Mus musculus: one gene and its partners. The protein of the gene in region 3 purifies or fractionates together with the protein of the main gene of each other region. This does not show direct contact. Links are inferred from orthologs where the notes say so. Each region holds a gene or a part of one and is shown on either strand. Other genes may lie near its edges. The genes, in order: Eps8, Wasf1, Abi1, C77080, Cyfip2 and Eps8l1.

Region 1 (4,831 bases), on a different chromosome or scaffold from region 3:
TCTCTGAGTAACAGGGGTGGGGTCATTAATGTAAGGAAATGCTATTTATGTTTCATTGCTAAGAACTTGTCTTAATACTATGCTGTTGCAGCCCCACGTGACACAGCACGACACAGGTTCAGGGATCATACAAATCAAGGCATTGTTTTCTGTGTTCAACAAAAAAAGGCCACTCAACTCCACCCTGTCAGTGGAGTAACTGAGGTTGTTGTTGTGTGTTGTGTCAAGCCTTTGGTTCTTCTAACTGACTTCTGTTATGCAAATTCTTCCTCCTTTTGAAAAATACCTATGGAGAGGGTTTTATTTGTGTGTTCAAAGTTTTTCTTTTCCGCCCTTTTTTTTTTTTTTTGAACATCATAAGCACTTGACCACCTTCGTGCTGGATCGGAAAGATGCAATGATCACTGTCGAGGACGGAATAAGAAAGCTGAAGTTGCTGGATGCCAAGGGCAAAGTGTGGACTCAAGATATGATTCTCCAAGTGGATGACCGAGCTGTGAGCCTGATTGACTTAGAGTCAAAGGCAAGTCGGGGAGGTTTATGCCACTTTAGTCTTAAGAGTTCACCACCGATACCAACGTGTGCAGTCAGGACAGAGTCTTGGGACACAAGTGATGGTTTGACACTGTCAAATATTTACTCATTTTATACAGAATGAATTGGAGAATTTTCCTCTAAACACAATCTCGCATTGTCAAGCAGTGGTACATGCATGCAGCTATGACTCCATTCTCGCCTTGGTATGCAAAGAGCCAACGCAGAGCAAGCCAGACCTTCACCTTTTCCAGTGTGATGAGGTTAAGGTAAGAGTGCCTCAGCCTCCCATTAATTCTAGTGGGGTGTGTGTGTGTGTGTGTGTGTGTGTGTGTGTGTGTGTGTGTGTACACGAATGCCCAATGAGGTCAGAAGAAGGTGAGCTGGGATTATAAATTCGAGAAGCCTGATGTGGGTGCTTGGTGCCAAATTCCCATCCTTTGTAAGAACAGCAAGTGTTCCCAACTACTAGGCAAATCTCAGGTCCCTGTTCCTCGCTCAACCCTCTAGAGCAATATTCTGCAACTTTCAATCTTGATTATAAAGCTATCAGTTGCTAGAGTTTAACATTTTGAGAATGTGATGAAGAAAATCAGTACCGAAGTGTCTTCTATAAATTTCCAATCAGGTAAACAAAAGAGGAAATTTTATTATTATTTTTTTAACTCAAGGTGTAGTAAGATGGGTCCTACTTGTACCACTCAGGAGGGTGAGGCAGGAGGATTGCTGCAAGGCAGAAGCCTGTTCAAAAGTATCAAACAAACATAGACACGTGTTGTTTATCTTGTTTGCAAAGTGTACCGGTGTATGAAATTCTCATCAGGGGCTCTGTGTATATAATTTAAAAATAGATCATTAAAAATCATGCATTATGCTTGCTTCTGTGGCACATATACTAAATAGACAGACAGTAAGTATGCTACAATTCTCTTTTCTTCCTTGTTAACCTCGAAGCTTGTATCGATTGTTTCAGTGAGATCCTTGCAATGCCCCATGGTATTGATAGGAAGATTGCCATTTAATTATGGGACTTGGAAAGTTACTCAGGGTTTGTGATCCCTAAGTGCCATGAGAAATAGCTGGGCAGAGTTAGCAAGAATAATAAACTTGAGACCCCAAAATCTATGTTTCACAGTCCACGTAATTTATCAATGATGATAATTTATTGAACCTTAGAATTTATCTCCAACATTAGATAGCTTTATTTTCTGAGCTGGTGTCTCTAAAAGAGAAACTTCCTTTGGTTCATTGGCGCCTGTCTTAGTTTCTTTCCTGTGGCTGTTATAGAACACTGACCAAAATCCACTTAGGAGAGGAAAGGGTTTATTTGAGTTGATAAATCCAGAGGGACAGGAGTCTGTCCTGGTGGGTAGTCATGGCAACACACAGCAGGCATGGTAGCAGGAGCGTGGAGCAGAGAGAGCCAACTGAAAGTGGCCATAGACTTTTAATCTCAAAGCTCTTCCCCAGTGAGCACCTCTGGTGGGGGGGGGGGGAACGGGACCCAGTGTTCAAACACTGGGAATGGAGGGACAGTTCTCACTCTGGCCACCTTTTTCTCCTCCTAGAGCACTGAGTTACTTGTGACTTTTATCTTGTAAAGACATTTTAGACCAGCACAAGAAACCCACTTGATCTCATCAGCGTTTCTTTGACATTAAACCATGGCAGATGCAGATTATCATTAACAATATAGTTTGTAATCTTTCCTAATTTCAATGTATCCCACAGATGATTATAATAAAAGTCTTACTTGAAAGAACTGTGCTACTTAAGTAACTTATAGCTTGAAATTCATCAGCTTTTTACAGACTATAACTTTTCGAATTCCTTAATTATTTTAATGATTTTTGAGGATTTTGATATGTTAAAGCAAAAAAATGGTGAAGTGAATATTTCGCTCTGAAAAAAAGTAAAATCTTATTAATGGATTTTGCTTCTTTAATTTTTGTACTTATTTATTGAAGAGGGATATCATGTACGGAGGTCAGAGGGCAACTTGTAGGAATTGGTTATCACCTTCTACCATGGGAATTCCAGGGATCGAACTCAGGTCCTGAGGCTTAGCAGCAAGTGTCCTCAACCACGGAGGCGTCTTGTTGGCCCAGTTCAGAGACTTACAAACCAATGAAAAATACTGAGTCAAAAGGCATTTAAATTTTGTGTTTGTATCCCTGCTTTTAAGTCTGACTTAAATGTGAGTTACTGTCCTGAGTAAAGGTTCCAGACGTCAGCCTCTGCGTTATGGAATGAAGGGCTTTCCTTCTCTAGGGGACCGTGACCATGATGCCTCCACATGAATTTCCTGGACAATGCTCTGTACTCACCATAGCTCAGACCACTAAAAATGAGGAAAGCCACTCACCCTGGCCAGTGCCACATTTCTTTTCATGAGGTGTGCATTCCTTGCTAATTTAAAAATGCAAGTGCCTTGATACTGTGATTTGTAACTAGTCTGTGTGCAGAACATCTTGCGATAACAGTTTTTGAGTGTAACTTTTTATCATGGGATGCTACATGGTGCGTTTGCCTCCTTTAGCGATGGCAACATTTTTCATAGAAGTTCAAGGTTCTAGACACCTCCAGTTTTAATCTTCTATATAATAGAGGACTTTGGCCTTAGTTGACCATCTGGAATGTGTTGGGCTAGACTGTTCTAAGGATGCACTGTACTGGGGTCCATTGCAGTGTTACCTCACCCTGAACATGATGCAGGCCAGGCTACTTCTCCTAGTTCCCCTCAGAGAATTAACTAGAAAGGAGACTAAACAAGGGCTGGGGAGACTGTTCGGTGGATGAACTGCAGTTGAAATCCCCAGAACCTATGTCAAGCCAGCTGTGATGGTACGTATCTATCATCCTCACACAGCTCCAGAGAGATGGAATGCAGAGACAGGAGAATTTCTCAGAGCTCCAGACCAGCTGGACCAGCTTATGTAGGGGTAATCAGCAAAGGGCCTTGCCTCCGGCAAGGTGAAAGGTGGAAAACATCACCTGAGGTTGTCCTCTGACTTCCTTTTATGTAATCAGTGTTCATATATGGGCGGTCACATGTGTGCTTGTGTGTGTCCGTGTGCACGTGTGCACTTTCTCTCACACTCCATGATCTTGAGGTCTCCCATCAGTTTTTATACTCACCAGTGCTGACTGTTAAAGAATACGTGACTCATATATCTGAGAAAAATGTATATAATTACACAGAGCACACAAGCCCAAAAATAGGAGATAAATACATGAGCAACATCCTCATATACAGTGATAATTACAGGCTACAGATAAATTTCATAACAAAGAAAAATTGACACCTTATCTACAAAACTCACTTGAATTCCCAAGAAAATCTAATCGTTGGTCTTGTTGGGAACATAATGGGAAAATTTGTGGTGGCAGATAGTTCATTTTTACCTGAAATGGAATAATAAAGTGATTATCAAAACGGATACAATATAGAATTGAGACTCAGCCTGTGAATGTACTGCTGAGTGAGTTTTCCATCCCGGTGGCAAACCATCGAGCTGAGCAACTTGCAAAGAGAGAAGGTCTGTTTTCCTAGTGGCTTCGGAGGCTTCAGTTCCATGGTTATTTGGGACATTGCCTTTGGGCCTGCAGTGGGAAAGTCCATGGTAGTAGGAAGAGTGTGGTAGAATTGCTGTTTGCTTCTTGGGAAGCAGGAAGTGATAAGAGACAGGCAGGAAGTATCTGGCAATCCTAGTGTCATGTAAGAGCAAAGCGCAATGTCTTCCTTCCACGACCTCCCTTTTGAAGGCTGGAACCCGGCCTTCACCATGCATCCATTCAGGGATACTGCAGACACTAACCTAGCAGAAGGTGTGCCTTAAGGTCTGGTGCCTCTGTAGGGCCGGGTGATTGCTTGGTGAGTTAATAGGTTCCCCCTGTGGAAAGGGAAAGGGGGAAGGGTCCCCCAGCCCTGCACATCATCTCTTATATCCTTCCTCTGTGACAGCCGAGACACTCACCTGTGTCCTCTCTGCAGTTGCCTTTCTCTGCTGGGCTCTTGGGGAGGAATGTTTAAGTGGAATCTGGACGTAGATTAACCTTAAAAATCAACATTTGTACCGGGCAGTGGTGGCACACACTTAACCCCAGCACTTGGGAGGCAGAGGCAGGCAGATTTCTGAGTTTGAGGCCAGCCTGGTCTACGGAGTGAGTTCCAGGATAGCCAGAGCTACACAGAGAAACCCTGTCTCAACAAAAGAGAAAAGAAAAAGAAATCAGCATGTGAGTTCCATCATTATAAAATACACCATTGAAAACTAGAGTCATATTTTTACGGTAG
Region 2 (4,831 bases), on a different chromosome or scaffold from region 3:
ACTCCTTGCGTCACTGATTACAGGCAGGGTGGATGGATGGCGCTTTGGCTCAGAGGCAGGTAGAACTTGTGATGGAGGAGATGGAGGCATTAATGGAGCATGGGGACCCGGGGCAGTAGATGGTGCTGGATGGAGCCCAGAGGGAGGATGAGCAAGAGCTGCAACTGCGACAGGAGATGATGGCCGGATGCCAGGCGGAGGTAGAGGAGGCGGTGGTGGGGGTGGAGGCAGCCCCTGCACTTCACCTTGCGGGAGTGGGTGAACTGGCACAGTCTCGCATACTGGGGCAGCTCGAGCTACTGGGGGAGAGGGCTGCACTAGAGGAGGAGCAATTGGAGGAGGAGCTGGGTGAAGAACACCAGGGGCAATCTGAAGAGGAGCCGGAGGTGGGGGCACTGCTGGGGCCTGCAAAGCAGTGGCTGGGGGAGGAGGCGGAGGAGGGACTGGTGGGGGAGGAGTTGAGGTCATTGAAGCTCTTAGTGAAGAAGTGGACAAGGCAGACGGAAGAGGTGGGGGAGGAGGTGGGGGAGTGGGGCTCACAAACACAGGTGTTCTGCCTGCAGCTGGGGACTGGGGGCGATTCTCTATCAAACCTGTAGCAGAACTGAAAAGACAAAGACATCCAAGACGTTATTAATCAGAAAAAGAACACGACTGTAGAAACTATAAACGACTAGCGGTAGCTACATCAAAATAAACCCACTAACATGTTCCTGTAGAAGCTTTAAATTATTTAACATTATTCCAAAGAATAAGGACTAAAAGTGTACAAACAAATTAATGGCTGGGCGTGGTGGCACACACCTTTAATCCCAGCACTCGAGAGGCAGAGGCAGGCGGATTTCTGAGTTCGAGGCCAGCCTGGTCTACAAAATGAGTACCAGGACAGCCAGAGCTATACAGAGAAACCCTGTCTCGAAAAACCAAAAACCAAAAAACAACAACAAAAGCAAATTAATAGGTGATGCTTTGGTTTATAATAATCTAACTTTGTATGAAACTCTCACGCCTCCTCAGGAGTTTCGTGCTTCCTTCAGTAAACAGTGTTCAGTTCTATGCTGTGACAGGGGTGGCTGCAGTGCCTCCCCCCGCACCCCACCACCACACTGCAGTGTCTAGTCACACTTACAGCAGAATTTGGCTAATATGATGATGGTGTTTTTGTACTGAAGCTGTTAAGATTCATCATATGTCTTTTCAGCGAAGCCGATGGCAGCTCATTAAAAACCACACAAAGACATTTATGCCACTTTCTTCCTAAGGTTGCTATACCAAATAAGCAAGAGATACATAGGAGGCTTCTGTGGTTTATATCCTATTTTAAACTAAAAATGGTAAAGCTGGTCTGTATTCGTTGGCCCATCGGTCTTGCAAACTTTATATGCCTCAGTACAGGGGAATGCCAGGGCCAAGAAGTGGGAGTGGGGGGGGGGGGGGGTAGGGGAGTTGGGGGGAGGGTATGGGGGACTTTTGGGATAGCATTGGAAATGTAAATGAAGAAAATACCTAATTAAAAAAAAAGAAAGAAAGAAAACCTCTTTAATATGCCTATGTTAACAATTTCTAAGTTGGATCACATAAAACTTTAAAGTAACCTTACAGAAATGCTGCTACAAGCAACATTCTATCGTCTTGAAGTTGCTGATATATTTCCTTAGTATATCATCTTAGACTAACATCTTTGACCTCCTTATTTAGAACTTTGCTAGATTGAAAAAATTCATTTTTTCTTAATAAACTATACATGTTAACAAAGCTATAATTATATACATGAAAACACTAATCCTTAAAGCAATTAGCTAAATGACCCCAGGAGAAAATGCCAGCTCTAATCGGAGGAAAACAAATACCTTTAATGTCTAAAGGTGCCTCCTGGTTTTGTAACCCAGGCTTTATTTTAAAAAGACATTTATGGGCAATCTTTGGCTGCTTCCACACAGAGATGGTATACTTGGGATAGAAAGTATTTCCAGAAAGCCTAAGATGTTTATGACTGATCCTTCAAAGAAGAGGTCCCTGATCCCCAAGACAAAGCATTATGAGGCTGTCCCACATACCTGATACAGGTGGGTGTGGGCTTTGCATCTCCTGCTCCATGCATTGGTGGAGGCGGAGGAGGTTCATGGGGTCTGACTAAGACCCTCTCCTCAGCTCTGGTCAGAAGTTCACTCATCTGACTGAATGGCAAGGCAGAGAGTGAGTACGATCCGTCCATATGATCCACGTATGTCTGTGGCCTTCAAGAAATACACAGCATTAGTGCATCTGTTAGAATCGCTGCACTGACAGTCAGTCTCTTGAACGCAGTCGTGAATTTCTGTGTGAATTGTTTTAACCAATGACCGATGAGGAAAGTATAAAAATGGAACTTACTACCACGTGGACATTGTGTTTTCTTAAACTAATGGCTTTCAAAAGTCTTGGAGTAAGAGCAAGAAAACTTGCTCCTAGAGTCAGAGAGAGGCAAGAAAACTCAGAATACAGCTGAGACACAGCAACATGAAATTTACATAAACCAAGATTTTAGGTGAGCACGTGAGAATCTGGGTTTACTGACCGCAGCACACGCTGGGAGCAGAGCTTTTTTAAACAGACGTGCACAGTGCGTGTCACAAGGTTCTCAACTCACACTGTCAACAGGCCAGACCTCACCTAAGCACAAATGCCTACAAGAGCTTTTTTTTTTTCCAATTTCCATTCTTTCAGTTTCTTTAAGTAAAGTAGCTAGATGGTACCTCTTAGATACGTACTCTCTTAAAATAGGCCCCAATATTTCAATTATGCCTCAAGACTTCATATGTTTTCAAAAGAAAATTTTAAGCTATTTTCCAATAAAATCAGTATGATAAAAATACACATAGCTTTTTCACAGAAGCTTGGAAGTATGTCTGTTATGGTAGTCTGTTACTTAGATAGGGCTCCTGGCCACTGAGAAAGGACCCAGATCTAGCCCACTTGTCTGTAAAAGAAAGTAAGGAATTCTGTCTGAAATCCCTGACACACCTGAATTTAGGGACGTGGAAAAGAAAGGAAGTCAGAGGACAGAGAAAGAACAAAATCAAACCTCTTCTTAACCCCTGCCGCATATGCAGTGAAAATCAACACCTCAGAAGTACTTCAGACACACTGTACTACAGCATTCTAACACACTTTACCTGAAATACTAGGGGGTAGTTAAGCCTTTACATAAAAGCTAAAACAAACCAGAAAAGTATACACTGTGAACCTTTTTTTTTTTCCTACAAATGACAACAAAAAGTCCAAATATGAAAATGACCTGCCCAAGGGAGTTAGAATTTAGAAGTTCAAAATTTAGAACTCAACAGTCCAGAAGCCGAGACTTGCTAGTACAGAAGTATAGGTATTACAGGTAGATCCAATGTTTATCATTCACTAGAAAAACAAACAAACAAAGAAAAAAATGAAACCTTGTCTCATAATGAGAGGCTGGGCCATTGGCAACTTCAATATGCTTGTGTAGGAGGTCAGCGTCATCCTCAGCCAGCTCTGGACCTTGGGCCAGCTTCTGCCATTCCCGCCGCCTGTCATGAGGTGCTCTTGGCACTTTCTCTGGTTCATGAGGACGGTCTAGATTTTTCTGCTATAACAGACATAATGAAACAACGCCAAGTGGTGAAATGCTAAATCCTTAGAAGGAAGTTACGACAAAATAAAACTCTAAGGTCACTACTGAAAACGGCAATGCCATGATAATATAGCAAAACAGAGACCCATTTTACTGTACAGTCAGAGTTAAAATTGATCAGAGGTCACTGTGGTCCCAGTTTCTCACCATGGTTTAGCAACTCAATTTCACACTGAGAGTTCAGATACAAAAAGTGTGTGCCTAGGTTTAAAGCGGAAAGTCCTCTGGATGGAAAAGGTCGCTGATCCTCACTCCTAGACCTACTTTTACTACGTATCAATGCTTTACCAAGGATGGAACTGTCAACCCCCAGTCAAACAACTAAGACAAGAAAACATCTGTATGGGAAATGGCCAGAGACTAAAATCAGGGGAGACAGTGTAGAAAGGCCCGGAGAAGGTAGGGACAAAGCAGGTGACACATGAACAAAAAGCCTGTCAGGTCTAAGATGGGGCATGCTATGAAGTTGACAGGAGTTCTACCTCAAGCACAATTTTAAATCCCTTGTGCTTAGCAACCAAAACCTGTGTTTAGGGGCACTCTGGCCTGCCAGTCACCAGTCTGCAAACCCCAGCTAGAACACAAGGGCACTGTCCAGCACATTCCCATGCAACAAGAGGGTATTATGGGGACTGAGGAAGGCGGAGATAGACAGACATGGTGAAGACAGACTGTGTCAAAATAAGACTTGTCTCGTCCTCCTTCCACATGCTTGTACAATCATCAGATTTAAAATATGAAATCAAGCAGATTCGGGAAAATCTTATCAAAGTGGGAAGTAAAGCGCAAGAGGCCAGCAAAAGGAAAGAGAAGACAGTAGCCTGCTGAAGACAGCTAGGCCACGTGGTGTGGCAGAAACACAGTGGCTTCATTTATCAACTTTACTCACATCTGCAAGACACTCTCTAGTGATCTGTGTAATTATAAGGACTTTAATGCACGGACCCAACAAAGCAGGGCTGCCAAAGTGCAGATTAACAGCGTTTCCAGGGAGCGACAACACGGGAATACAGAAAAAGTAACTTCTACAATACCTTCTGCTTTCTCTTTTCCTTCCTCTTGTCCTCTGTATCTTGCAACATCTTTTCTTTCCACAGATCAAAGAAATATGAAGGATTGGTATAAAACTTCAGCCCTTCCTTACCATCATCCCTGGAAAACAGCACGCCCAACAGTGTATTAGGT
Region 3 (4,831 bases):
AGTGCCAGGCCAGTTACTTAGAGCACTAACTTTCAAAGCTATTTCAAGGCTACAAAGTATGGCCTTGTCTTTTAAAAAAAACAAACAAACAAGCAAAAACCAAAAATATGCACGTAATATGAATACAAATAAAAGAGCCAAGCAAATCCCATGTAATGCAGAGTAGTCACCATTATTTTTATAGAACATTCAGTTCTAGAAATACTTAAAATGAAGCTGCCATAGAAAAACCTGTCAGCCACACCCAGTAACTTCACGACAAAAACAAATACTGGACAACAGGCTTATTTCAAACTATTTTTGTTCTGAATTTAGTATCTTAACATGGAAAGTGAACTCAATGATTATCCTCAGATATTCAAGCCTTTCCTTTCTAACTCTATTTTCTGTAAAAGGTTTTAAACACTGGCTGTAATTAGTACTGAGATGTGTATTTTGAAGTAAACAAAGGGAAATCAAAAGAAAATCCCTCCCACCTGTTAGAATTATTCAGAAAGAGAAAGTAAGCAGGCATTGTAAATGTTTTCATTTGAAAGCATTTCAAAAGAGGTCACAACCTTAGAAGTGATAGCCAGCAATTTCTTTTCATTAAATTCTTTAAAAAGTTCTTTGGCTGTGTTTGTGTCTTCGTACCATTACTGAACCATCAAAATCATGCTGATAAAATTTAAGATTGTTTTGTTCTCTAGTTCAAATTATACTGTAGTAATACTAATAATAGCACATTAAAATATTTGTTGAATTTGGTAGATTAAGTATACTTGAGTGAACCCTGGAGAATAAATAAGCAGTAATATTTAAGATGGTTATTCAAGGATTAACATTCAAAGCAAAAACAAGCATGAAATAGCATGGCTTAAATTGTTGTCTATCACAGTCAAGAATAACAGTTTCAAATAATTTCCTTTAAAAAGGAGCTCCACTATTGCTGTATGCCTGCAAACACAAGCTTACTTGAATTTTGAGAATAAAGTGGACCTCCATTAACATGAGGCTGAGCAGAGAATTGGGCGGCCACAGAAGGAGTTCGTCTATATCCACCAGAAGATGTCGAAGAAGTGGTAGAGTTGTGTCGAGAAATCTGCCTGGTCATTGTGCCATACTGGGAACCAGGAGCTGCGCCAGGGGCTGCTGAAAAGCATTAGTCAAAGGCAACCAAGAAAGCATTACAAACACCCCAAGTGACAGGACAGAGGGGAGGGGGTTCTTATTTTTTTTGGAATGCCCAGACATAAAATAAAAAAAGAAGATGAAAATCAAATTATCTCCACTTCTAAAGTATATAAACAAGAAGACAGCTAGTGCAAAGAGCTACAAAAGTGACCATTTGAGCATTGCTAATCCTTTGCAATAAGCATAGTCCTGAATGCTATTTTGCTAATGCTATATGTAATTTACATGTGCATTTCAGAATGTTCACTAGACAATGCGCGAGAACAACTACTCTGGTATGGTAAGTAACCCAGGGATAATCTGAAATATATGAAAAGGAATATATGTGTAAGTTGTCTGCAAGTACTACACCATTTGATTAAGGAACTTGAGTTATCTAAGGATTTTGTATCTATTGGAGGTGGGGTGTACAAGAATCAATCACCTGAGGGGATGAAGGACAAGTGTATAAAGCTTTTGTATGTACACTGGCTCCAACAAAATGAGTACCACACACAGTCTGAGTAAGGCACTAGCTGTTAGCTGTGGGTCATTCATGACTGCTTTATAAACAGCTTCCTCTTCACAGCCAAGTTTCGGAATTTGATTTAAAATTCTATCTGGCTAAAAAGCTCAGGATAAGTAATAAAGTAAACAATAAAATTTAAACTGCTAAGTATATTTTTCTGATTTTTATAACTGTTAGTAATTACTGTTATTAATTATTTAGGTTGTATTTAGGTACTATTCTAACACTAAGAACTATCACTCCTTCTGAATGAACACTGCTAAGTATAGTCCCTGAATTTCCCTACGCTTCAGCACTGATGAAAATCTCCCCTTGAGAGCTTGTTGTAATGGAAATTTATGGGTTCCATTTTCGGAGATTTTTAACAAAGTAGATCTAGGATGAGTTCTGAAACTGAAATTTCTACCTAATTCCTCTACGTTAATAACCAATTTGGGACTATTGCTCTGAAAGTTAGTGCTCTAAGTAAGCAGTTAGCAAACATTTTTTTCTTTAAGTCGACTCTTAAAAACTAAAAATTAGGTGTCCCTGGAGTGGGTTACACCTACATGAAATGACCATATTCAAACTGACACAGCTTTAAGGTGAATTTATATACAAGTACACAAAGACTTCACGGAGCCTCTAGAAAAAAAAATTCTGACAGAATGAGGATGAAAAAGACATGTAATAGCTTTGACCTCACAAACTTAACAGAGAGTTTTCTGAGAAATAATGTTCTGATGTTAGTACCTAAGACTGACACTGAAAGATGCTGTTTACCTTGATTAGTAAGCAAAAGGGGTTTTGGTAAAGGGAGCAAGCATATCAACAAACACCAGCAGTATAGCACCAGTTCCACACACCCCAACAAGGTGAGCTGTCTGTCTGCATTTTTACTTATCCACTGTGGCTTCAACAATCATCTTCCAGGCTCACAGACTTTCTTTCAGTGATTTCTATATCCATGGGATTTTGTATTATCTCCTTCCCTCTCCTTTTCCTCAGTATACATAAATGTTTTGAAAAATAATCTAGGGCTGGTGAGATGGCTCAGCAGGTAAGAGCACCCGACTGCTCTTCTGAAGGTCTGGAGTTCAAATCCCAGCAACCACATGGTGGCTCACAACCATCTGTAACAAGATCTGTCTCCTTCTTCTGGAGTGTCTGAAGATAGCTACAGTGTACTTACATATAATAAATAAATATTAAAAAAAATAATCTAAAAATATTTTCAGTTTAATTTCATCTAAATTAATTCTCATAAGAGACACCTCATTATTTATCTTAAGTTCTGTGTACTTCTAAACTGAATGTAAATTTGGGTGTGGGAGGGAGTTGAGACAGGATTTCTCTGTGTAACATCAACCAGACTGGTCTTGAACTCACAGAGACTGCCTGCCTCTGCCTCCTGTATATGCCACACACTGCCCAGCCTGGATCTAGAATTCTTTGTATTAGCATTCAGTCTAGTCCTTCCCAACTTAAAGACAATTTGAATGCATCCAATTGATAAAGTTACTTCAGAGCATTCTCAGCTATCTGAAACCTGGGCTGCTGCAAAAATTTTCAAAGAATAATCCAAAAGATAGCACCACAGCAGCCCAGTCACACTCTATTTCCTTTCCATGTTCCACTTCCTATCTCCACCTTCAGCCCAGTCCTTTGACTGGATGTAATAACTGCCAGTTTTTGTCAATCTAAATAAATCACAAATAAAAATCCCATTAAGTTTGTTGTAAATCATACATAGGACCACATTGTATTTAATAAAGAGTCTTCTCCGTGTTCTTATAGTGTTAAGTTCAAAGGTCCTTCACCAGAAGAAATTAGAAATAATTAGATTTAATTCTTTAACTTTTAGTGGTACCATCTATAATCCAGTAACTGCAGCAACTTGTAATCTATCAGCTACAAGAGTTAAGTGCAGATATGTAAAATTTATCTAATGGTTCCCCAACGCCTACACAGTCTCATCAGCAACACTCACTGGGAGAAGTATGACTCCAGGAAGCCAGACACAATGTTTTCTAGCAAAATAGTTTATCACTCAGATCGGAGTGTAAGAAAACAGAACCAAAAATTCCAAAATGGCAGGAAAATACCGCATATTGAAGACAAAGAAAAAAAAACAAACATCCGTATATAAAACAAGTTCAAATGAGTTTATAAATGCAGTACCCACAAAATGAGCCTGTGTTTATAACAGGATCATTTTTCTTGAACAATACTTTGAAAAGGTAAGATAGTTTCCTCTCATTTTTTTATTATGATTACCTTTCAAACATTTTTTTTAATATACACATTTTGTTTCTGGATAGCTTGGGCTACACAGAAATAACCTACCTCAAAAAAGTCTACATTTCACTGACTCAATTTCAAAGGGTTAACTGAATGTTCTCCCAGAATACCTTAAATTTACATACTTTCTAAAAAGGTAAAATAAATTTTCATATTTTTAAATATCATCTTATATTCACCAGATTTCACTAAAACAGGTGCTGAATCTCATACATAAATAGGAAGGCACAAATACATTGGTTTAGCAATACTGACCTTCTGAATGAAATATTATGCAAAATGGTTTGCTTTTGAAATAATAAACATCACAAACTATTAGAAAGGCAACATTTACTAAAACAAAATGGCCAAAACTGACTTAACAAAGTGACTTCTCTGTACCACACATACAGCTTGTAAAACCCTAACAATTTTGTGAAAATTAATCTAAAAATATCATATTTTTATATCTGCCTTTATTATAGCAATAGCCACAATCTAGTAACTAATTTCATTCAATATACATAGAGTGTTTTAGCCTCCATAATAAAGTGAACAGACACAACACAGTGAAGCTGAGGGTACTAACTACCGTACCTGGGCCCGCAGTGGGCGGTGAGGGCGTAGGCACAGCAATAGGAATGCCAATGCTGCTGCTCCCACTGTTCTCTCGGCTTCCGCTTCCTCCACTACTTCCACTGCAAAGAAGAGAAGCATTGGAAAATCATTTTTATACACTGATTTAAAAAAAAAAAAACTTAATCTAAACTGGAGCTACTAAATACTCTTTAACTTGGTTAACCTTTAGCCTATTATTTAAAATGGTTCTTGTGTTACACTGTTCTTCAAGAACTTTAAAACTAGTAACTAGCACAGTTTTTGAACCCTACC
Region 4 (4,831 bases), on a different chromosome or scaffold from region 3:
GCGGCTGCGGGGCCGTGGACTGGAAGCCGAGGAGAAGCGGCCCAGGGAGCGAACCGAAGCTGGGCTGGCAGAGAGCAGGCTGCAACGGCTCAGAGTGCGCAGGCTGCTGCGGCCCAGGGCCACCACATCCACGGTGGGCGGCAGCACGGCGTGCGGGATCAGCTTCGACAAGTAGGTGGCCTGGGGTGAGATTGACATGGCTGGGCTCAGTGGCTCTGGAGATCCTGCTCCTCCTGTCAGTCCAGGCACTGCGAGAGACATTGGCCTCGTCAGTGGCGGTGGCCGGGCTCCCGTGGATCGGCCAACAAGCGTGTCATCGTGGTAAACACGGTCGATGTGGCGCTGGATGACAGCCTCTGCATCTGTGCCGGCCTCTGTTTCTGCTTCCAGAGCCTGCAGGGACACTCGGACCCCTGTCCCTAAGGCCAGACCGGGGCGACCATCCACCGTGGGGATGCGGACAGCGTCCCGTGAACCAGGAGGCTGTGGAGTGCCCGGTGCCTCACGGTTGTTCCGCAGGCCTGAAACAGACATGGGGTCAGCGGAGGGGCTTGGCCAGGCTCCCGGGCATCCACCACCACTGCTCACCGACCAAGGCTCACCGAGCTCCTTCTGCACGTGCTGAGGCAGCCCCAGCACCGTGCTCCTTCGCTCCCTCCGTCGCCTTCCTGACTTCCCAGATTTGGGAAATGAGTCATGGGGTCTGAAGGTGGAGCCTAAGGAGTCAGTCCAGAGGGGGAAAACCCGTTAGAGCAGAAGGCCTCTGAGCACTCTAGAGACATGGCTCAGTACTAATAAAGTACTCGTGCGTGCTTTCTTTAAGACTCCTGAAAAATCCCCTCACTGATTCAACAATGACCTTTCCATTAAGCAAGCGATTCTTACTACTTAGTGAGCAAATTGTATCACCATGTTAAACGGTTGATACTCATTCCAATGATGTAAATATTTGTAATCTCCTGACTTTCTTGGAGCAAGGGGTTAGACATGCCTTCCCTAGGCCCTCTGAGGCTGTCCCTAGCCAATCCTTTGGCTTTTGTTTTGAAATAGGGATATCATACAATCCAGGTCAGCCTCTAACCCACTATGGAGCTGAGGAAGACTTTGAATTTCTGATCTTCCTACCTCTATTTCCCAAGCGCTAGGATTCCAGGTGTGTACCACCGCACTGTTGCATACAGTGCAAGGGACTGGACACAGGCTTTCCTGCTTGCGAAAGCAAGCATGATACCAGCTAAGCTATACTGAAAGTCAATCACTTTAGCTTCTATAGAACATCAGTAGACACTTGAAGAAGTAAAGGGTTTAGACTCCTGGTCACGCTGCAGCTAAGTTACCACAAGTCAGGGTTCCCAAACCCTTCACGATCTTGCTTTGGGTCAGTGTCCACCATGAACCTCCAAGAAGATAAAGGGTACTGTCTGGTAAATTCACTGAATCACATAGCCTGGGATTAGGAGGAAAAGGGGAAGCCACAGATACCAGGACATAAAGCGATGTGATGGTGCCTGTCACCTCTCCCTGCTACCTAGAAAGCCCAGCAGATGACAACACACCTCTGCGCTGAATCATCTCCGAGCGGACGGAGAGCGCATCCTCCGCGGTGGAGCTCTCCGTCATGTATGACTTCTGGCTGTAGATGGAGATGGTATCTTCATCCGGCCCCGTCTGGGAGGACTGTTGGGGGGATAAGAGCAGCTTGGATGAGCTACTCTGGGCTCCCGCTGGATTCCCCCAGCATCAGCCAGCACTGTGCAGGTACCAGATGGAGCAAGCCTGGACTAGCTGTCAGAAGTCATTTCATCTACCTCTTCAACATACAGAAGAAACTAGTCCAGAAAGGCCCAAAGCCATGCATGCCAGAGGCTAAGTCAGAAGGGAAGAGCAGGGCGGAGCTGGGACAGGGCTCACCTGGATGCTCTGGGTGTCTCCATGGTCCCAGCCGCCCTTGCTCAGCTTCTGTCTTTCTGGAAGACACCAGAAGGGTCTGTTGGCCAAGCCCCTGACCCAGGAGCTGGGAACAGCACTCTAACAGGGCAGGACTTACCTTGGTGCTGGAGGGAGCGGAGCCCCTCCTGGGCCTGTGTGTGCAGCTCTTCCAGATGAGGAGGTCTCCCACTGGGGAAGAAAACGTTGTCCTGAAGTTCATCTCCTACAGATCCTGGCCCCTGGCTGGGCCCTGCGCCCTGACGGTTGTCACTCTCGGCCTTAGCAGAGCCTGATGGGACGGAGAAGGAAGTGAGGCCCGAAGGCATGTGGGCGCTGGAGACTCACAAGCACAGCCACACAGGCATACAGAGCACATCCCTTTGATGTCTACCTCTGCCATACCGCCTAGACACATTCTTATCCCATGTACACACACGAACTACACCGGAGGGCACATATATCTGAGTCATCACATCACATAATAGGACCACACAAGGTCAACACACAGGCCCTTTACATCCATGAGGCATTTACAGGCTTCAGCAGTGTATACACACAAACAATACCCAAGCATAAACCGGCAAACGTGGCTCCACCAGCTTCCACAGATCCACCTGACACCGTGCTGCAGACACCCCAAAGCACACTTAAAACTGCACCCACAGGTCACTCAGGGTTCCACACAGACATCCCCATGGCAAATCCATTTCTTGTCTCGAGACCTGATGCTTCACTTTAAAGGAAAACAAACCACCCTCTTTAAATAGCCCCTTGGCCCGAGTCCAAGAAGATGCCATGAAAACCCAGAGCTGTCAGTCACAGTCAGATTTCCAGAAAGCCCTAAGGGAGGAATAGGCCAGGGACACCTACTTACTCATATGGCTACTCTCTAGAAGGATCCACAGGGACGGGGAGAAGAGGGATCAGGCCCCTCAACTCCCGCTGGGAACTTAGCCTCTCCTGAGGGAACAGGCCAGGTATGGCCTCTCCTGGAGGCCCTGGCCTGGTTCCAGGTACAGAGGAGCCAGAGCTCCATTACAGAGGATCCTGTTACAGGCTCTGCCCACAGAGGGGCTGGTCATCTAATCCTGAGGATGGGGGCTGTGTCAGCACTTTGCAGTCCCAGCCCCTCTTTAAATGAATCCCACAACATAAGCAAAAGCGCTGGGAAGGTCATGTGACCTTGGCAGTCCCCTGTAGAGAAGCAGGAACAAAATAAGCCCTTTAAAGGGCCCCACCCCAGGAACTAGGTCTCCAACTCAGACACCTGCCATCTCTTTTCTTCAGTATTCCTCAGAACCAGAGGACCGGCCCCCAAGAAGCCACAGGAATCCCACCAAGGCAGAGAGAGCTAAGAGGTGCCCCCGGAGATCTTGGGTGTTTCCCACTCCATCCCACGATTTTACAAGTGGAGAAACAAGCTCAAGTGGAAAATGTTTTCCTACTACAGTCACAGCAAATGGCTCAGACAGCCAGGGCTAAACTCTGCATTCCCAGAAGGGACCCCTGCCCTCCAAGAGCACAAGAAACGAAAGCTCCCACAGTTAGAACCTAAGTCTAAAAGCCAGGCTCCTGGGCAAAGGCGTGCACCTGGTCTCTACCTTCAAAACTGCCCTCTCCAAGCGAGGTCCCCAGGGCACGCTTTCCCCGCTCCTGCAGATCCTCCCACCGAGGAGATGACTCCGGAGAGGGGTGTCCTCTCTCTAAACTGAGCTATACCCAGTAATGAGTTGGTATCCCAGCAGTAAGGCAATCTGACCCTAGGACAACAGACTCCAAGGTCAGAGACACCTAGGTCCACCCTCCAGGATAACAAGCGGCACTCAAACAAAAGCAGGGACAAAGCCGCCGGACAAAAGCGCGGCTGCCGACTCAGACTGCAGCCAGCCTGGGAACCAGCTCCCCCACCTCATCGCTCTTCCTAGCCTTGACCCCCACCAACCTAAGGGTCTGGCAAAGGGGGCTGTCACCCTTGGCTACCCCCACAGCCACACCCACTCACCCTTCTTAAAGACCTCAAGAAGCGCTGGGAGATGTCGCCCCAGGAACACTACCATGTCTGCAGCAGATGGTCACCACCTTAACCTCCCCAGAACATCAGACAACACCTTCGATACAGCGCAGCCCCAAAGGGACTCGGATGCAAAGCAAGCTGGCAGTCAGCTGCCTGGCAGAGTTCGGGCAGGAGGGGGAGGGGCTGCTCCAGGTTCTCCTCCCACCTTTGCCATAGAGCCCGCCCATCCGCTAACCCCACCCCTACCCCACCCCCAAGCAGAATACAGGGAAACTGAGGCCCAGAGACTGGGCGCTTTGCTGCTGAGTGTGACTGGAGGTACCAAAGAGAAGACACAATGCTAGCTAGCTGTGGGTCTCTGACTCTGCTCCCAAGTTCTTGCCCAAACATTTGGGTGCCGGAGCTAACGAAAGGGTCCCAGCTGCCAGATGGTGGCTGGAAGAGCCACCAGACCAGACCTGGCACGATGCCCATGCCCAACACCCAGCCGTCACGGCTAATTAAGGTAATTTCCCGAGGAAAGAGTTCAGCTCACGGAACAAGCAGGCAGGAACCCAGGGCTGCCTGTGAGGATGACAGGGACAGAGCAGGCCTCAGAACAGGGCACATAACTGAGGCTGGCAGGTGGGATACCTAGAGAATCAAAGTGGCCGATGACAACAGTCACCCCATTCACAGACTTCAGTCCCACACTTTCTAAAGAACTTTCTTCCCACCTCAGCAATGTGACATCGGAAAGGCTGAGAAACAGCAGAGGCAGGGGGATTCAACACAGACCTGTTCTTTCAGCCCAGAACGCTTCCCAGAAGCCATCCTGAATACGTGCTCACCATGCACTGGAAAAAGAATTGGCCCAGAAACAACCCATATGTGGAATTCAAAAAAGTC
Region 5 (5,479 bases), on a different chromosome or scaffold from region 3:
CTGTGGCATTTAATGTAAAAAGCCCATGGTGCACCTCCTCTACGGGCAGATAGAACCCAGCAGCCAGGGAAAATAAAATGGCATAGCATACAACCACATACATAATATCAGTTGTTTTGTGCTATTGTTTCCAAACAGATTCTCTCTGAAAAGAGAAAAGACAAAGAAGGAGCAACATGGAGAAATATGTCTCTGAGAAGATAAAAACGCCTCAAATAATCTGCCTTTCAGGATGAAAACCCAAGGAATGGGGATTCTCATTCGTAAGCGTCTGCAGTCACTGTGGACTGAAATCCTGAGGATCCTGGTTGAAAAAAAATGAATTTTAAAGTAAGACGAAACCTGAATTCTGTTTTTAAAGCCATCCCCCACAAACACCCCCACAGCTTTCTCACATGGCATCAGAAGGGGGGGAAAATGTATGTGTGTCGCTATATATGTAAGTCATCGCTTCTGAAATAGCAGTTTAAATTAGACAAGTGATGTAACATCAAACCACATGGGAGCGTGGTTTCTGAGCCCCGGGGGAAGCATGTGAGATGCAGCTAAGTCTTCTCAAGTCCTTGCCTGAGATTTGCATACAGTGGCTCCTCTATCAGTAGCCATTTACAGGGAACAACTGTGCAAGTCTAAGTTTGTGGCGTCTGGCAAGCATTGGAGAAGGTTCTCATGACCCAAGATTTTATTCCTTGTTGCTCTATACATAAATCAGGCTCTCAAGTACTTTCCAATTAGTTCCCCTAAGAGGGCAGGCTGGAGAGATGGCTCAGCAGTTGGGAGCCGTGGCTACTCCTCTTGAGGACCTGAGTTCAATTCCCAGTACCTACATGGCATCTCACAATTATCTGTATCTCCAGTTCCAGATTATTCTTGGCACCAGGCATGCATGCGGTACACATATATGTGCATGCAATCAAAATACCCATACACACAGAATAAAATAAATACTTTATATACATACACACACACACACACACATATATATATATATATATATATATATATATATATATATATATATATATATATATATATATGGTACCCAGAGCAACTATTATTCCCTTTATTGCAGGTACTGCATCTCCCACTCAGAGCAGTACCATGCTGGGGTGGGTTCAGGTCAGGACTGAATGCAGCTGGCCTCATCCCTACCTAAAGCCCTCCGAGTTATGTCTCAAGGAGCAATGGATTCTTTGAAGAGCCCTAAGCAGCATCTAAGAGGCTTCTGTCTCCTCAGCTCCTTCCTAGGTTTGCCTAAAAGTCAGCTTATCATGATTTTGTCCACGAGTCAATTCTACCTCAATGGGATCGACATGGGCACGCGCGCGCGCACACACACACACACACACACACACACACACACACACACACGCACACACACACATAATAGCTGTACATTTTTACACTAAGAAATGGAAAGGAAGTAGATGTTTCTCTTTGTTTTTAAATTATTACATTTATTTATTGTGTGTGTGTATGGGTGTGTGTATGTGTCTGTGTGTCTGTGTAATGTGCATATATGCATGTGGGTGGAGGTCAGAACACAATATACAGAAGCTGTCTCTCTCCTTCTACCTTGTGGATCCTGGGAATCGAACTCAGGTCATCATCAAGCTTGGCTGCAAGCGCTTTCTCCCGCTGAGCCTGTGCCCTCTGAGCCCGTGCCCTCTGAGCCCGTGCCCTCTGGGAAGTTATTCTTCAAGTGGTGGAAGGGCTCAACCTCTCACTTAGCCTGCTCCCTTCTTTGGGAAAGCAGCTGTCATTGGACTCCTGTTAGGTCAGTTAATGCTGGCAAATAATAAGCTCCAAGCGAGCAGGGGCTCTACTGCACACTAGTGCGTGCCTGGCTCTTGGCAAGATGCTTGGAACAAAACAGGTAGTCGATAAAGATGTGGTGAATAAATGACTATATGAAAATAATTTGACACCGGGGAGATGCGAAAGGAGCTGACGCTTCCTTCCTTCTGGAGTGGCAGGTGTCGCTGGTGATGCAGGCGGCAGCAGGAAAGTCGTCCCTCCTCCACCTCCAGAGTCCGGAGGCTGGATACTCTAAGGCTGGAAGGTATGGGTTCAGGAGGTTGCAGGTCAGGGGTGCGCAGGGAGCCCCTCGCCGCAGCCATTTCCGGCTCTTTGTGTGACAGCAGCCGCGGCGAAGGGGCTGGGCACCGCGGCCAGGGGAGGAGCCGCGGCAGGCGGAGAGGCGGGGCCGCGGGCGGGGCGCGGCGGTCCGCCGGCGCAGCGGCGGAGCGGGGCTAAGCATCCTGCGCCCCGGCGCGGGGCCCTGCGGTAGCCTCGGGTCCCTCCCCTGGACCTGCCACCGAGCCAGGTAAGGGACTCTCGGAGACAACAGGGCTGATGCAGGAACCGAAATGCTGCCTAGGCGGTGGATGCGTTCCTGAGGATGCGCGAGGGGCGGGCGCCACTTCTCCCAGCCCGTTGGGGGCGCTTGGCTTGGCGCCCGAGGCTACACGGCTTCAGGTCCCTGGAGGCCGGGCTACAGGCCTGTGTTGTCCCTTCTCCCCTCGGCCGCCCCGGGCGCCCTGGGCAGGGAGCGTTTTCCAGAAGTCGTGGGTACAGCGCAGAGCTCCGCGCAGCAGCCTCAGCGGCAGCCACAGCAGGTGCGTGGCCTGGGCCGGAGCCACCCGCCCTAAAAAGAGGCAGGGATAGTCTCGGGGACCAGGGATACCTGCAGGGGCCACAAGCCCAGAGGGGGCTACATCCCTGCACCTACATACTGCAGATCGCCGGGCAGTCCCCGCCTCTGCGGTCGCGGCCACCATCATTCAGCCAAGGCCAGAGAGAGCTGCCTGGGCCCGCCTGACAGGCAAGGGGGTACTGGGCGCCCGCGGTGAACCGAAGCCGGGTGGGGCCGGGGCCACAGCGGCACGGTTTGGGAGAGGAAAGCTCTGATGAGCCGGGAGGCATGGCTGACCTGCTTCGAAGCGTTCTGGCCTATACTAGCGCCTCTCCCCTGGATGGCTTTGGGGAGGAGAAAGGTGGGGTGATGGAATCCTAGGGGTCAAGGTTTCCTTCGTATTTAGCTGCCCACCTGTCTGTTGTGGGAGATTGCCACATCACCTTCAGGAAGGTAAGCCCTCCTGTGTGTACAGGAAGAGGAGTAGCTTGTGGCTAAGGGTGGGGGCAGGGAGCATGGTTGAACCGACTGTTGGTTTTCTCCCGCGACTATCTGGGTGTTTTCCAGTCCAGACTTAGAACTTGGCTAGCCCAATTCTTTAGTGCCCACAGCCCCACAGTTGGGCAGGAAGACTTAGGGATCAGACTGACGACTGACTGTTGCTCCTAAGCAACCATTTCTACCTCTTGACCCCTTCCCTTAGAAGTGACCAGCCTTATTCTTGGGCACAGGCCCTGCAAGAACCATTGCCTAGCACTCAGTGACACCCCCCCCTCCCGCCATTGTCGGAGGACAAAAATATAGATTAATATCTATAGTCGGGATTGTAAGTCCTTGAAGGTAGTTGTCCCTACCACCATCCCCCCTTCTGTGGCTTTCCCCCCCTCCACCCGATGCTCCTTGGGTCCCTTCTCTCCTGTCAAACTTGCTTGAGAAAGGAGCCAGTGAGTGGTATTTATCTTGAAGAGCTAAATACAAAAGGTTTTCCCATTGGATGTAGAGCAGGCGCTTCTTAAGTCATGGGATCAGAAAGGAAGCCGAGGATAGGAGACATTTTAATAGGAAGCAGAGCTGAAGTCAAAATATTTGCTATCTCTAATGGTTGACTTTCCGATGTAAGCTAGATGTGGCACTGATACTGTGGTCAGAATGGCCTATGTGGCAGCTGCCAGCTTCGTTTTCTGTCAGGGCTGCTTTGGCCTGGTGGGCAGGAGTACTGTAGGAGTGTGTGTGTGTGTGTGTGTGTGTGTGTGTGTATGAGAGAGAGAGAGAGAGAGAGAGAGAGAGAGAGAGAGAGAGAGGCAGAGAGAGGCAGAGAGAGAGAGGCAGAGAGAGAGAGGGGTCAGGGGTTACTGTCAGCAGAAGGCTTTTGTTGATCACCAGTCTCTCCTTGCCCGTGGGGTGTGAAATGTGCCCATGGAGAGTTCCTTACTGGAGCTAGCTGCCATCTGCCCTGACAGTTACGAAGCCACAGACAGCACGCTGCTGCTTACAAAGCCAGTGCCCCTGGGTACTTCTGCTTGCTGAGCCCCAGGCCGGTGGCATTAGCTCACTAATCTTCTTTATTGTAGTTCCTGGCCAGTTCTGACTGGTTGTATAGGAACCCAAGACTGCCTTGTTCCCTAATGTGGTGGAAAATGGAAAGAAAAAGCGTGAGTTAGGCATTAGGCCAGAAGTGGGGGGTGGGGTGGGGCACAGGTTTGGAGACTCTTGCTCAGATCAGATCACATGGAGAAGTAATTTAACAGCTAGCCAAGGGCCCCGGTAACAGAAGTGCACCCTTCGATTATCGTGCCCCCTCAGTGGTCACTGGGCCTCTGAGGCTGCCATTGACCTGAAAGCTAAATTAGGTGATGAATAGGCAACAGGCTAATTAGCATTGGGAACAGTATTGCTGGAAAACAGTATAGGGCTCCTGTCCTCACATCTCAGCCCCGGCCTCCATGCTCAAAGAGGCTTCTTTGGACCACTGTTAGCCCCAGGGTTCCACCAAGAGCTTCACAAAATGCTCTTTCTGTAGCCTCCATGTGGCCACCATAACAATGAGTCTATTTCTTTACTGGCAAGTATTAATTATTCACTTATAGTTGACGAAACCAGATGTCAGTCACCTCATTGGAGCCTTTGTGAAAGGCCTTTGGTCTTGTCAATTTGAGAAGCAAAGCTATATCTAGGGTCCGGCGAATGGCCTTGGCGATTGTAGCTGGAGGTGGTTGGTGGATGGGGAAGGCAGCAGTTTGTGCCTTGCAGACTGTGAATCCTGTGACTCGGAGGCCAGCTGTGGTGGGGGAGGGGCCAGTGCATCTTTGGATGTTCTTATTAAATGAAAGATGCACGAAAGCTCTGAATAGAGTGTGTGGCACACAATCGGTCTCCTATTTATACCCCTATTGCTGCGATGCAGTATTTACACGATCGCCGAGAATTTGGTTCATGTGCATAGTCAATTCACGGTCCTCTCGGACCTCTTCACTCCCGGGACTTACCTGAATCGTGCTTTTTCAAGGGGACTTGGTCTGCTGGATCAGTTGAGGTACGTGCCAGAGACATTAGAAAGGCATGTGATCAGACAAGGTGTTGGCCAGGGCTTCACCTGGCAACTGCTGAAAGTGAACGTGGTTGAACTTGAGTTGGCAGGAGGACCGGGTGGGGGCAGGAGAGCAGCGGTAATTCTCACGTTTCAGCACACAGAGCCGGAGAAGAATGTCTTCCTCTGTGTATTCAGCATTCTGCAACCAATTCAAAAATGTCAAGGGCAAGCTTGGGATGGACAGGGCAGCACAGTGAGGCTAGGACTGGGATTCCTCCTAGGCTTCCTGAGAGCCTTTAACTTGGCCACTGCCT
Region 6 (4,831 bases), on a different chromosome or scaffold from region 3:
ATGCCCATAACTGGAGCAGTGGGTGGTCTATATCAAAGACTCTAGCCATACTTCTAGAATTAACTCCCATCCCCGACCCAGCATCTTGTCAGCTAGTCACACCTAGACGTGCCACGTTCCTGAATCTCGTTCCCCACTCCAAGACTGACTTGATTGTCAAGGAAATCTTTTTCTCCTAGCTGGTGCCTCTCACTCAAGCTCACCACATCCCGCTCTGCCTGCAGACCCGCCAGCTCAGGTCCTCTTGGGCCCAAGTCTGGGGAGGTAGGGTCAGCACTGCTAGTCGTGCGAGCTTGGTCGGGTTTCCTTGCTTCCTCAGTCTCTGGAATTGACTCCACTTGGGGTCGCCCGCGGACTGCGGATGGTTCCACGGTGTTGATCACCAGGCGGACAGACGGGCGACGCTGTAAGGGCGGGGTCTCCGCTGCTGGAGAGGCGCCGCGTCGCAGCTCCTCCTGCGTCGCCCTGAGTTAAGAAAAAGGGGAGACCGAGGCTGGGGCAACCGATGGGATCAGGAAGGGGGGGGGGCGGTCAAACGAAGGCTGGGCATTTCATAATGAGAAACTGGATACGAAGATGGAGAAACCAAAGACCAAGACAGGCTAAAGTAGAAGACTGGAGCGGAGCGGTCACCTTGTCTGGGAGGTACAGGTAAGACCTGGCCAAGGCTAATTTGTGACCACATTCAACACTCTAGGCTGTTCGTACCAAGCTCATTTCTTAGCTGAGGAGAGTGAGGTCCATAGATGGGAGAATTTTTTTTTTCAGTGCGCTCTGCATCTGCTTCCCCCTTCTCCTCACCTGAGCGCTGCTGCCCTGCGTTCTCCACGTCCGGAGCGGTAGTTCTGCAGAGCCCCTTGGATGTCCTCACGGATCAGCTCCGCCTGTCAATCATACTTTAAGATCTCCCCTCTTACGCCCCACCCATTGCCTGCCCAGGACTCTTTCTTGTTCTCAGCGCTTTGCCTCCGACTGTCTTGGACAAACCCCATGGACCCCATCTTGGTTCTGCCTGCCTGCCTGCCTGCTTCCAACCATCTTTTTTATGTTTTTCTCAAAGCCTTTGTTCTGCATCTTCTTCCCATCGTCACATTCAGTCATGGTCTAGAGTTCATTCAACCTGTCCTCAATTCTGGTTCCCTCTCAGACCTGCTTTCCTAGGCTATGTCCCCGTTTGCCAAGGCCCCGCCCCAAACATGGAAGCCCCGCCTCTGATTCTCTACTAGAAAAAAAAGCCACCCGGAGCCACGCCCACTCACTCCGAGGAGCAGGCCCTGGAAGAAATGAACATCCGGCTGTGCACGCTCTGGCTCCTGGCACACCAGGAGCAGCAATGAACGGCTCCGTCCTCGGGGCATCACCGCGTCGCAGCGTACGATGGCATCGAGAGGATATGACTCTAGTTCTTCCTGCAGGACGGGGTCGCAGGGTAAACGGAGGCACAGATTCCTATGACTGCTAGAGCAGTGTCCAGGACTTGGGGCAAGGCAACCGAAAGAGTTCAGGGGCCTAGAAATAACACCCTGTTTAATAACCTAGGCTTCAAAGGATAGCTTGCCAAAGTTCCCAGGGGAAGGACGCTTCGGAGCCAAGATTCACCCTCAGATCTCAGCCCCATTTCTCTCTTCCACCCAATTGCTCTCTGGCACCTTGGAGACTGGATCAAGCAGAGTGACTTGACTAGGTGACACTCTCAGTAGCATCTCCTGTGCCCAGACACGCCCCTGGCTGTCCATGACTGCCAGCTTTCTGGAAGCATCTTCCACAGTGTGCACGCCATCTTCTTCCCCCAAGCAGAAGGTGACCAGGTGCTGGCAGGAGACAGAGTAGGTAGCTGAGTCCCAGGCTATGCCAAGCTGTTGCTGAGCTTCTAGAGGGAGCTCCTGTTCAGCCTAGCCATACTTCCCCAGAATGCTTTCCTCAGACCCTTTGAATCCAGACCTCAGTCTCCCTCCCTCAGACCCTTCAGCTCCTTCAGTGGCCAGCACTGATTAGATTTCCTTCCAATTAGGACATCTTCAAACCAAGATTGGAGGCTTCTCAAGGGCAACAAATAATAAGGATTGAACTCTTGTAAGTGCCTCCTCTGCTTTGCATTATGACATCCACACCCTCTCCTGGACCATGGAACCGTGGCCGATTTGGTCCTGCATCCTGCACTGGGGATGGCTCAGAGGAAGATCAGACAGAACTGAGTTCTCAGGCAACAGGGACGGATGTTCATGGGGAGAGAAGAGCTGAGTTTTCCTAGTCTCTTCCTTCTTTCTTTCCTTCTTTTTCCCTCCCTTCCTCCTGCCTCCCTCTCTCTCTTTCTTATTTATTCACTTTACATCCTGATGGCTGCCCCCGTCCCCAGTCCCTGTTTTCAAAAGGCCTATCACTTCAGGCTCACCTCTCCCCAGGAAACGTCTTAGAGAAACATAGACCCCAGACTCACATTGACATGATACTGGGACACGTCAGCCATAACCACGGTGGAGTAACGTTTTCTCTGTTCTAAGGAGGGGAGAGGGGGAAGTGCATGCAAGAGTCAGACTGCAGCCTGGTTCCTTAGACCCTGATGCTAGCTAGCCCTTCTCCCTCAGAAGGAGGAGTCTAGACTCCAGCTCTCCTCCCTCAGACCCAGGAGTCCAGACTGCAGCCATCCTCCCTCAGACCTAGGATCCCTGACCCCAGCTCTTCTCTCTCAGATCCAAGAGCCCAGATTCTGTCCCCTCCTCCTCCTCTCAAAACGACAGACTGTATTCTCTCTTCTCCCAAGAGCCTTGTTCTTGGTCGCCTTAACCCTCAAGCTTACCATAGATAGACTTTGCACTTGGTTTGGGTGCAGCTTCAGGCCTGGTGAAGAAGAAAATAAGGGGTTAGGAGGATGGTGGGGCTGGGGATAGACCCTGCAGGCATGCATCAGGGAGGGTAATGGAGAGCCGTGCAAGGTCTGAGCAGGTGAGAGCAGGACACACCAGAGTTAAAGAAGATGGTATGGTATAAGCTGGGTGTAGTGGTGCATGCCTTTAATTCCAGCAGTCAGGAGGCAGAGGTGTGAGTTCGAGGCCTGGTGTACAAAGAGAGTTCCAGGATAGCCAGGACTGTTACATAGAGCAACCCTGTCTCAAAAAATCAAGACATATGATGTGATAATGTGTGTGTGTGACCGCTACATCGCACAAACCTGGATTCAAATATTCTATTTCTGTCTGTCTGTCTGCCTGCCTCTCCCTCTCTCTCTCCCCCTCTCACCCTGAGATGGAGGACCCTTGTTCAGTTCTGGGTAACCAGGCCAGGCTGCTCACAACCAGCTGTGAAGCTCTAGCTGTTCTGAAATTCACTACAGTAGACCAGGCCTCAAACTCATAGATATCCTCCTGCCTCTGCCTACCAGCTGCTAGAATTAAGAGCATGTACCACTATGCCCAGCCCCTCCCTGCGCTCTCTTTTAGTAAAAATGCTTTTGCAATTTTGAGATAGAGTCTTGAAATCACTATGTAGCTTAGGATGGTCCTGAACTCCTGTCCTTACTGCCTCGACTGCCACTGTGCTGGGAACGCAGGCATGTACCATCATATCTGGTTCTAGGTTAAAATTCACAAAGCTGATGGGGGCTGGAGACTTGGCTCAGTTGTTAGAGAATTCGTTGCCTTTCTAGAGGATCCTAGTCAGTTCCAGGGAACCAGGCCAGGCTGCTTACAACCATCTGTAATTCCAGCCCCAGGGGACCAATGACCTCTTGTAGCTTATACAGACATCCCTCCCTCCACCCTTACACACACATCAGAGAGACAGAGACAGAGAGATAGAGAAAAAGATACAATTAAAAAAGATTGGTGGCTAATCTTGGTTGTCAACTTGATTACATTGGAAATCAACTAAAATCCAAGTTGTTGGAGACATAAAAGGACATGGGAGAAGGACACATCTATTTTTTGCCTGCTTGCTCTCAATCTCGCTGTTTATCGATCCTCCTGCTGAGGTCTTTCTTTGCTGGTGTTAGAATATATATATATATTTAGGACTCTAATGTAGGCCAAAGACCAGCAGCTCTCTAGGAATTTCTAGGGAACTACACTGCTCACGCCTCCACTCTGGTAAATTGAATAACGATTGGACTCTTGGCTTTTCTGCTATGAGACAGCCACTGTCGGATGACCCAAACCACAGCATATAAGCCACTCTAATAAATCGTGTGTGTGTGTGTGTGTGTGTGTGTGTGTGTATGTGGATTCATGTGTATGTGTGTTTGTGTGTTCATGTATATGTATAAGTGTGTGTGTGTGATTCTATCAGTTCTGTTCCTTTAGAGAACCCTGACTAATGTAAAGGTGAAGGGCAGAGCCTATTGTGATTGATGCACACTCACAATCCCAGAACTCAGGAGACAGAGAAAGGATGATTTAAGTTTGATGACAGTCAGGGCTACATAGTGAGACCTAGACACAAAAAAACAAAAAACAAAAAACAAAAAAAAAAACAAAACTTAAACCCAAACCCAATAACAAAACAAGAGCAAGGCCCCGTAAACACAACAAAACACAACAGAGATACATAAAAGCAGCAAACAAATTGTCTTAGTCGGTGTTTTTATTCCTGCACAAACATCATGACCAAGAAACCCTGACTGGGACACAAATAAAACAAACAAACAAACAAACAAACACAAAATGCAAACAATAGACCCCAGGGTTGGAGGGCTGGTTGAGCAGTCATAGGCAAGTGCTGCTCTTCCAGACCCAAGATCAGCTCCCAACACCCACATCAGGCAGCTCACAGCTGCCTGTAACTGCAACTCCAGGAGAGCCAATGCTTTCTTCTGACTTTAGGCACTGCACTTACATAC

Evidence for each region.
Region 1: the proteins of Abi1 (region 3) and Eps8 purify together in Homo sapiens (affinity purification with western blotting; 4 studies listed by BioGRID, with this or other methods). This does not show direct contact. The link is inferred for Mus musculus from reciprocal best matches to the Homo sapiens genes ABI1 and EPS8.
Region 2: the proteins of Abi1 (region 3) and Wasf1 purify together in Homo sapiens (affinity purification with mass spectrometry; 6 studies listed by BioGRID and IntAct, with this or other methods). This does not show direct contact. The link is inferred for Mus musculus from reciprocal best matches to the Homo sapiens genes ABI1 and WASF1.
Region 4: the proteins of Abi1 (region 3) and C77080 purify together in Homo sapiens (affinity purification with mass spectrometry; 3 studies listed by BioGRID and IntAct, with this or other methods). This does not show direct contact. The link is inferred for Mus musculus from reciprocal best matches to the Homo sapiens genes ABI1 and NHSL3.
Region 5: the proteins of Abi1 (region 3) and Cyfip2 purify together in Homo sapiens (co-immunoprecipitation; 4 studies listed by BioGRID and IntAct, with this or other methods). This does not show direct contact. The link is inferred for Mus musculus from reciprocal best matches to the Homo sapiens genes ABI1 and CYFIP2.
Region 6: the proteins of Abi1 (region 3) and Eps8l1 purify together in Homo sapiens (co-immunoprecipitation; 4 studies listed by BioGRID and IntAct, with this or other methods). This does not show direct contact. The link is inferred for Mus musculus from reciprocal best matches to the Homo sapiens genes ABI1 and EPS8L1.

What each region holds. Positions count from the first base shown.
Region 1 is NC_000072.6:137,523,060-137,527,890, reverse strand, and holds part of Eps8 (epidermal growth factor receptor kinase substrate 8), read left to right. Parts: intron 1-361; coding exon 362-523; intron 524-653; coding exon 654-803; intron 804-4,831. UniProt on the Homo sapiens protein: Signaling adapter that controls various cellular protrusions by regulating actin cytoskeleton dynamics and architecture. Depending on its association with other signal transducers, can regulate different processes.
Region 2 is NC_000076.6:40,931,883-40,936,713, reverse strand, and holds part of Wasf1 (wiskott-Aldrich syndrome protein family member 1), read right to left. Parts: intron 4,799-4,831; coding exon 4,681-4,798; intron 3,602-4,680; coding exon 3,429-3,601; intron 2,238-3,428; coding exon 2,058-2,237; intron 605-2,057; coding exon 1-604.
Region 3 is NC_000068.7:22,952,481-22,957,311, forward strand, and holds part of Abi1 (abl interactor 1), read right to left. Parts: intron 4,639-4,831; coding exon 4,538-4,638; intron 1,132-4,537; coding exon 955-1,131; intron 1-954. UniProt on the Homo sapiens protein: May act in negative regulation of cell growth and transformation by interacting with nonreceptor tyrosine kinases ABL1 and/or ABL2. May play a role in regulation of EGF-induced Erk pathway activation. Involved in cytoskeletal reorganization and EGFR signaling.
Region 4 is NC_000070.6:129,223,796-129,228,626, forward strand, and holds part of C77080 (uncharacterized protein KIAA1522), read right to left. Parts: intron 4,117-4,831; exon of another isoform or gene 3,987-4,116; coding exon of another isoform or gene 3,932-3,986; intron 2,219-3,931; coding exon 2,048-2,218; intron 1,968-2,047; coding exon 1,912-1,967; intron 1,678-1,911; coding exon 1,557-1,677; intron 717-1,556; coding exon 603-716; intron 522-602; coding exon 1-521. UniProt on the Homo sapiens protein: Able to directly activate the TNF-NFkappaB signaling pathway.
Region 5 is NC_000077.6:46,309,074-46,314,552, reverse strand, and holds the start of Cyfip2 (cytoplasmic FMR1-interacting protein 2), read left to right. Parts: upstream 1-2,194; 5' UTR 2,195-2,326; exon of another isoform or gene 2,327-2,618; intron 2,619-5,479. UniProt on the Homo sapiens protein: Involved in T-cell adhesion and p53/TP53-dependent induction of apoptosis. Does not bind RNA. As component of the WAVE1 complex, required for BDNF-NTRK2 endocytic trafficking and signaling from early endosomes.
Region 6 is NC_000073.6:4,466,861-4,471,691, reverse strand, and holds part of Eps8l1 (epidermal growth factor receptor kinase substrate 8-like protein 1), read right to left. Parts: intron 4,448-4,831; exon of another isoform or gene 2,839-4,447; coding exon 2,798-2,838; exon of another isoform or gene 2,497-2,797; coding exon 2,438-2,496; exon of another isoform or gene 1,812-2,437; coding exon 1,650-1,811; exon of another isoform or gene 1,410-1,649; coding exon 1,260-1,409; exon of another isoform or gene 885-1,259; coding exon 802-884; intron 652-801; exon of another isoform or gene 466-651; coding exon 204-465; intron 1-203. UniProt on the Homo sapiens protein: Stimulates guanine exchange activity of SOS1. May play a role in membrane ruffling and remodeling of the actin cytoskeleton.